2 linked regions of the Coturnix japonica genome follow. The protein of the gene in region 1 purifies or fractionates together with the protein of each later gene. This does not show direct contact. Links are inferred from orthologs where the notes say so. Each region holds a gene or a part of one and is shown on either strand. Other genes may lie near its edges.

Region 1 (3,358 bases):
ACCCCAGAGTGTAAAGCAAAATGCTAAAAAATAGATTTTGTAAAGCATCTTATGTTTATTATGTGATGGTGGACTCTCATATGTATTACTGTATTGAACTTCCTTTTACAAAGATGTTTTGGGCTCTTCAATGACTTATTTTCCAATTTAATTAGTGAAATGAGTAGAAATCAGTACATAGTTTATGTTTTAAGAGGCTTACATTGCAACAAGGAAGTAAATTAAAATTTGAGTCTGGCTGAAACAGTTCTGTTATCAAACATTAGCTATGCAAGTCAGTCCTATTTCATTCAGTCCAGCATCTCACCACTCTCATAGTGAAGAACTTTCCTCTGAAATCCAACCTAAATCTTCTCTCCTTGTCCTGCTGTTATCTACTCTTGTAAAGAATTGACTCCCCTTCTGTTTGTAGGCTCCCTTTAGGTACTGAAAGGTTGCAATGATCTGCAAAATATTTACATACCTACTGATTCAAAATACAAGTGAATAGCAGTAGAGAAAACTGTATGTCCAGATGCATAGTTTGGTATATTGGGAATCTTGATACTTACAGGAGAGTGACTGCACCAATCCCAATTCAGTAAACTAAGGAGTAAATTTAAGTGAGAGAACCTGCAGGTTACAGCAGAACTGGAGACTTAGATTTTTTGCTGACAGAGGCAGGAAACAATAATTTGTAAGGTAGCCTTTACAAACGAATCAGTAGTCCTTATCAGCAAGGCCTTTTTTATAAGCATTTACAAGCACAGTTGCTTTCCTATGCAGTGAAACACATTTTCTTACTGGAAGTATTTGGAAAATTCAAAATAGCACAAGTCTGTAAACTCTTTCTGTTTTATTTACCCAAAGACAGTTGCTTGTCTCCAAGAAGAGAATGAAAAATTGAAGACCAGACTTAAGACAATAGAAACACAGGTAAATTTCCTGTAAGCTCGGATGCTTACTGCTGGTGATATATCTTTACAAAATCTAAATTAGAATTGCATGGATATTATTCTCATGTTTTTAATTAAAACACATATACGAGGTGTTACATTTTCCATGTGTTACAGGCTACAGCTGCACTAGATGAAAAATCCAAACTGGAGAAGTCACTGAAGGATTTGCAGATGATCCAGGGAGATCAAAAGGTAAATATAACTAGGATTTGCACTCCAGTCGCTGTTCCTTTACGCTATTGCTCATGCATCTAAAATGTTGGTCTGCATGGTATGTTTCTTTTTCTGGCAGATAGAAAACTACAGGCTAGTATTGTGTTCCTGCTAACATTGTCATACACGTGCTGCTCTGTCAGTCAGCAGATACTGCAATCTGCTGGTTTATCTTATGACATACATTTTGTGTCAAATAGACCACGGGTTGTTCTAATCAGAAGTGTCATTCCAGGTACTGTCAGAAAATAGTATTCCAGAATACATATTCTTAAGATCGATGCCTGTATTAACAGATACAAATATAGCTGTGTGTTCCTTCCCACTTAATCTCTTATATGGCAACAATAAAGCACTAATTCAAGCATTATCACATCCAATATCAACATAGACTTACTTCATCTCAGTTCAGACTTTATAAACCTAAGAGCTTACAGATGTGTCCTGATCCCATATTCCTAAAGATTAGTTGGAGTTTTGCTACAAAAGGCAGTGAGCAGGGCTCAGGTGACAAAGCTTTGATCACCTTTTTACTACTTGAAGTTATTAACCTTTTGTGTAAACGTTGATTCAAACATGGCGATTTTTTTTGCTGCAGAAAAAAGCCTAAAAAGTCAGCACTCTTGTAAGTTATATTTTTATCCATACCCTTATTTTGATCATTAGAATTTTCCAAAGTGTGTCATTTTGCAGTTGTTTCTTAAATCTGAAACATTTCAGTGCAAACTTTTAGCAACATTAGAGCACTTCAATCCCATTGTTTTGAGAGTCTCTTGAATTCCAGCTGTATTTACATTTACAGACTTGAAATTCAGTATCATAAAACATTTCCACTTTGATTTCCTTATTTTAATCTTCATTTCTTTTTATTTTGCTTACTAACTGGTTTATGGTATGTACTTGTTTTTCTTAGTACTTATCACTTATATCTAGTAACTTTCAAAGTCTGTATTCAATAATACTGTTTAATAGGGAATTTGATTTATAATATAAATCAATATATTGAATATATTTTCTTTATGTGTTTCCCTAAGCCTTATATTATTAAAGGTTTACTACTAAAGGATTTTATTAAATCCTGGGCAATGGTACTTGTAGTTTTAAAAGATTGGAAGCAAATCTATTCCTGCTTTTCTGGTTAAATATGAATTTGCCTGAATGTCAGGGCAGCCAAGTACCTGCAGCTTTCATATTCAGACTTACTTCTTATCTGTCACTTTTTTGTCCAGCTCTCACTCTGTGTGCATGTGTATGTGGTTGAAACCAGCTAGGAAATATAGCTCTAATGTATACAACTTCATTTAATTAATGGATGTATTAGTTATTTGGAGAAAATGCTATATTTTATCTTGGACTCGATCTCAAAATTCAGAATTCACTTTCTTCTGTGCAGGTACCATTATCAGTTGGTTTCTTACACTTAATACAAAGGAGCAGAGCTTCCTTAGTTCTAGATTTCTCTTCTTTTTAAGGTGCCAGCAGTTGAGCCTCATCCTGACTCCCTGTGGTTTTGAGAGTACGAAATTTAGCTTTTGTACCTGGGAGTGGTTTTTAAAACGGAATCCACAGAACAGTTACATGAATATGTTTTGTTACCCAGGGCCGATTGCCAGAAGAGTTTGGGTTGTTTCATCTAAGAAGGAAACAAGAAAGCTGCTTCACAGGCTGTGAAGATTCCTCTTGAACAGTGCAGTATCAGTACCTGACTGATAACATAGTCCTTAACACTTCCATCCTTCCCTTCTTGTGAGATGCTTCATTGTGTGGTTTCACCTCACATCTAAAGAAGGGAAACACAACATCTTGAAACATCAGCTGAGCAGAGGAGCCATTTCATCTGTCTTTAAAATGCATTTATTAACAAGTTTTTCCTAGTTAAAAATTATTCAATGCTTTATCCAACTTTGTTAGTTAACTTCCTTTGTTAAATGACTTTCTCACTATAGCACTTCTAGGTCGTGCTTTACAGGAACAGAGCAAATGTAATTCATAAAAACTAAGGCATTCCCTTTTCTGTGGCATTTTGCATCTGATACTTCAAGTATTCGTTTTCATTTAACATATTTTAAATAATTCTTGTTTTGAAGACTGATGGAAACAAGGATATCGTTGAATTGGAGAATAAAGTGGCAGCTTTGAAATGTCACTATGAGAAGACTTTGAATGATTCTACTGCAAACCAAAAAATCCTGGAAGAGGACTTGGTG
Region 2 (4,256 bases), on another chromosome or scaffold:
AATAATTTAAGCAAGTATCTTCAAGTACTCCCCCTTCTCACCAAAGAGTTGTTCATCAGTTCAGTATATGGGACAACTAAATTCCATTCTCACCATAACACATACAGATGCTCTACAACTACATTCTATAAACAGAATGGGCAGTAAGATATGGTTTCACATAGTTTTTGACTACCTTTTCAAATCAGCTTCAAATCAAGAAGAAATGTAATTAACAAATATAAACGTTACAATCTCAAAAACAGCAGAAGTCCATTATTTGTTACCTCCATCTCCATTGTGTAGAGCAAGAACAGTAGGTGGTCCAGGAACCTCTACTTCATACAGTAGATCAGATCCCTGGGGACAAAGAGAACTACCTTGAATGAGTTCTTATTCAAAAGGAGAAATCAAGAATAAAGACAAAATTGTTTTTTTAATATGGACATGTTTCATTTACACAGATTTTCTTGCATAAAATCACCTTTAAGCCAAAACAGAGAAAACTTCATATAACTAAAACATGGCTATAAGAAAAGCACATCTTGAAATGTGTTACCACTTAAAATAACTATGACATAATAATCCGAGGACATGTGGCATTAAGAAACAATTCTGCTAAACCATTTGATATCACTCAGACTTGCTACAGCAATAATTTGTGAGTTTTCAAACTTACAACAACTCACGCATTTAATTCCTTTGTGTAAACACTTATAACAATTTCTTTACTTCTTCTATCCATGAATTCCAGAGACTATTTGTAGTATCAATCAATCAATCCTAATTTTACAAGTACCAGCACTGTAGACAGCAACACTTACAAATAAGGTTATGCTTATGCTTATTCGATAAGAATCAATCCAATGCTATGGCGTCAACACATAAAACAAGCAAATATTTTAACCTGTAAAACTCTGAGGACTCTATCCTGACACGCAAGTACTGGGGTAATGCAATTCACTTTATCTACAGGAAGGCAGAGAACGTCGTTGATTTTATCTCTTGACAGGTAGTAGTGCTTGTCTTTGCAGTCGCAGTAGTGGTTATAGATATAGCTTGCGCAAAGAAACAGATCTGCTCCTGAAATGTGCCTGAGAAAAAGAAAACACTGTAGCATGTTGCCAGAATATTTGCAGTCATGTCTTTGTTAGGTTAGTATATGAATGTGTTATTGCTTGCAGGTTCCACACATCACCTTTTACAAGACAAGCACCTTAAACCAAGAACATACAAAAAAACAAGAGAAGAATCTTATTCCTGACCTCCTACATGCAGGGCAGATGGAAAGAATATGCTGCTAAAAAGCCAATAACCCCAGCTACACTCACCTGCACACACACACACTGCTGGAAAGGCCCCCAAGCCCCTTCCAAGCCCCCCCACACTCTTCCAATTGCACCGTCACTTTCCAGATTCCTTCCTACATGCCAAGGCACAAGCTAAAGCCAGAGCAGCACCGAGTGCTGCCTACATGCACACAATAAGGTTAAAAAAACCCCATACAAGTATAGATTGAGAATAACTTCATGGAGACAAGAAGCGGCAGGCACTGTACACACATAGCTTTGATGTCCTCGGTGAGGTTAGTTTCAAAGGAGAGGAACTGCTTCCCTCTTTTGGTGAAACCTCGGACATCTGATCCTGTTGCCACAAAAACTTTCTCTTGAGGTGTATTAAGAGCTCCCCCCAGCTCCAGGCGGGCAATTTTGGGGCCGGGCAGCGTTTTGAACACTGTCTGTAAAGAAGAAACGCAATCGCAATCATATTCTGTGATTACAGTCAACTTTTCACGCAAAGGATGCTAAACTTGCTTTACAGCCACTGGCAAAACTAAGGATACTACCAAGTACGTGGGGACAAAAAGCAACGCTAACCGCATGCCTTCTGGATTTGTTAGGGAGAAAGCTTTACAAAGCCCGTTTTTACAGAATCACAGAATTATCAAGGTTGGAAAAGACCTAGATCATCTAGTCCAACCATTACCAATACTTCCCAGCTAAATCATATTCATCAGCACCACATCCAAACGTTTCTTGAACACTCCCATGGTCGGTGACTCCACCACCTCCCTGGGCAGTGCATTCCAATGCCTGACTACCCTTTCCGAGAAGTAATACTTCCTAATGTCCAGCCTGAATCTCCCCTGGCGCAGCTTAAAACCATTCCCTCTAGTTCTATCACTGATTACACGAGAGAAGAGGCCAACCCCCAGCTCACTACAACCTCCCCTCAGGAAGTTATAGAGCAATAAGGTCTCCCCTGAGCCTCCTCTTCTCCAGGCTGAACAATCCCAGCCCCCTCAGCCTCTCCTCATAAGGCCTGTGCTCCAGACCCCCTTTAAACAGCACGTTGACACTTACCACAGGTTCCCCCTTTTTTATGCCGAAACAGGTAATCACTCCGTCCTGATCACCCACCACCACCTTCAAAAGCAGAGCACAGCGTTACGTCAGCGCACACGAAGGGTTTTTACACACCCCTTCGCTCCGCTAACCGCAGTTCCGTACTTCGGTACGTCACGTTCCGCCAGAGGAGCCGGGCCGGCCCGTACCTTCTGTGTGGCCCTACGACCCGACGCGGGGAGCAGCCTCATGGTCTTCTGCGCCGTGACGCCCACCTGCAGAAGGAAGCGCGGCCCTCACTCACCTCGCCCGGCCCTTCGGCCCCGGGAGCGGCGCTGCCGGTTACCTGCATGTAGTCCACGCGGCTCAGGCTCAGCTCCATGGCTCCGCCGGGCCCGGCCCCGAGCTGCCGTTACCCGTCACCGCGGCAACCGTCGCCCGCGTACGGCAGCGCTCCCAGCCGCACAATCGTGGCCGGCGACTGGGCGGCGCTGCGCTTAGTGCCGTGAGCAACGGCCGCGGGACCGCCCCCACACGGGCCGAGCAGGAGCAGGCCGAGTATCAGTAAAGTATCGCAATATTTTATTTAACAATGAAGCATCCGAGGCATCGGGTCACAAAATACCGGCCCTGCGCAGAGTCTGAATTAAAAAAAAATCATTTCTACCGCATGAAGAGGAGCTTTGGACTGAGATCACGGTCCCTTCAAATGTCGTTACAAAAAATAACAGCCAACCTCCACCACACCTCACCAGTGGAAATAACACACTGCATTATGGCACAGCAGCTGTGTGCTCACCCTCACCTGCTCCTCAGCTCATACTGCCATCAGCAGCGCAACCCTACCCCACTCTACCTGATCCACCACACGCTCAAACACCCTGTTCCCACCTCGCTGCTGCCAGGAGCACGACACTACCTTACATCTATTCATTTGTTTTTCTTGCAAATTCAGTGCAAAGGATTCTCAGCATGTATCCATAAACCTGCTAAAATATCAGTAATTCTCATCTCTATACCTTCTTAATGCATCAATGCAAAAAAAAAAAAACCACAACAGTTTGATAGTTGTTAACTTTCAGATGATTAAGATGAAGACAACAACGTTTTGGTGACGAGTTAATAAAATTTCCTATGACTAAATTCCAGAGCAGCTGTACATAAAGTTATTTAGTGCTAAAAATCTACAATACTTTTTTTTTTTTGTTTTCAAGTATGAGATACTGAAATATTATTGCCAATAAATAGTTGTGCTGTAGTCGAAGCCACGGTTCCTTTGTCGCATCATTCACATCTCAACATATTGGGATTGAGTTTCTCGCTGAGTTTATGTATTAAAATCGCTAACTCTTCTGTCGCTTGGGACTTGTCCTCCAAAAGTTCATAGCGAAGACTGGAGATATCTTGTTTGATTTCCTTTAATTCACCTGTATTAACCATGGAAAGAAATACTTATTAGCAAAGTCTGCTAAACGTTCATTAAATGATAAGTCGCATTAGTGCCTATTTCAGATGATCCCCTGCTCATCCAGAACATCCATGAGAGCTAAGTAAGGGGGGCAGAAGGCTTTCCCTCTTCCTCATCCTCTCTGAGATCCAACCAACTCCAGTGTTGTGCTTCACACATACACAGAACATCAAAGCCCTCCACATAGGTTAATGAATTAATCACGGCAACACTGCTAAACAGCTGGTAAATGTTAGTACCCCCTTGGAGAGAGAAAAGGCAAAAGAGATTTGTTTCTGAAGTGATATGCCGAGATCACACAGGGAAAGTGTGGCAGAGCTGGCAACAAAACTCACAGCTTCTGAGTCTCTCTCCTCTTCCTTACCAACATCCTTTGAATCAGAAAAAGTCAGCCAATTTAAAACTGTTACAACTTGACACAAGGACAACAACAAATGGAAACAATAGTCAAGGTTGGGCTTGTA

What was found. Proteins that work in one complex are often made in the same cells at the same time.
Region 2: the proteins of LZTFL1 (region 1) and BBS7 purify together in Homo sapiens (affinity purification with mass spectrometry; 3 studies listed by BioGRID and IntAct, counting the BioPlex papers as one, with this or other methods). This does not show direct contact. The link is inferred for Coturnix japonica from reciprocal best matches to the Homo sapiens genes LZTFL1 and BBS7.

The regions. Positions count from the first base shown.
Region 1 is NC_029517.1:39,361,561-39,364,918, forward strand, and holds part of LZTFL1 (leucine zipper transcription factor-like protein 1), read left to right. Parts: intron 1-849; coding exon 850-915; intron 916-1,052; coding exon 1,053-1,130; intron 1,131-3,238; coding exon 3,239-3,358. UniProt on the Homo sapiens protein: Regulates ciliary localization of the BBSome complex. Together with the BBSome complex, controls SMO ciliary trafficking and contributes to the sonic hedgehog (SHH) pathway regulation. May play a role in neurite outgrowth. May have tumor suppressor function.
Region 2 is NC_029519.1:48,256,521-48,260,776, reverse strand, and holds the start of BBS7 (Bardet-Biedl syndrome 7 protein), read right to left. Parts: upstream 2,811-4,256; 5' UTR 2,707-2,810; coding exon 2,671-2,706; intron 2,600-2,670; coding exon 2,534-2,599; intron 2,406-2,533; coding exon 2,343-2,405; intron 1,718-2,342; coding exon 1,542-1,717; intron 1,074-1,541; coding exon 887-1,073; intron 340-886; coding exon 267-339; intron 1-266. Other genes in the region: TRPC3 (short transient receptor potential channel 3), read right to left, coding at 3,609-3,751.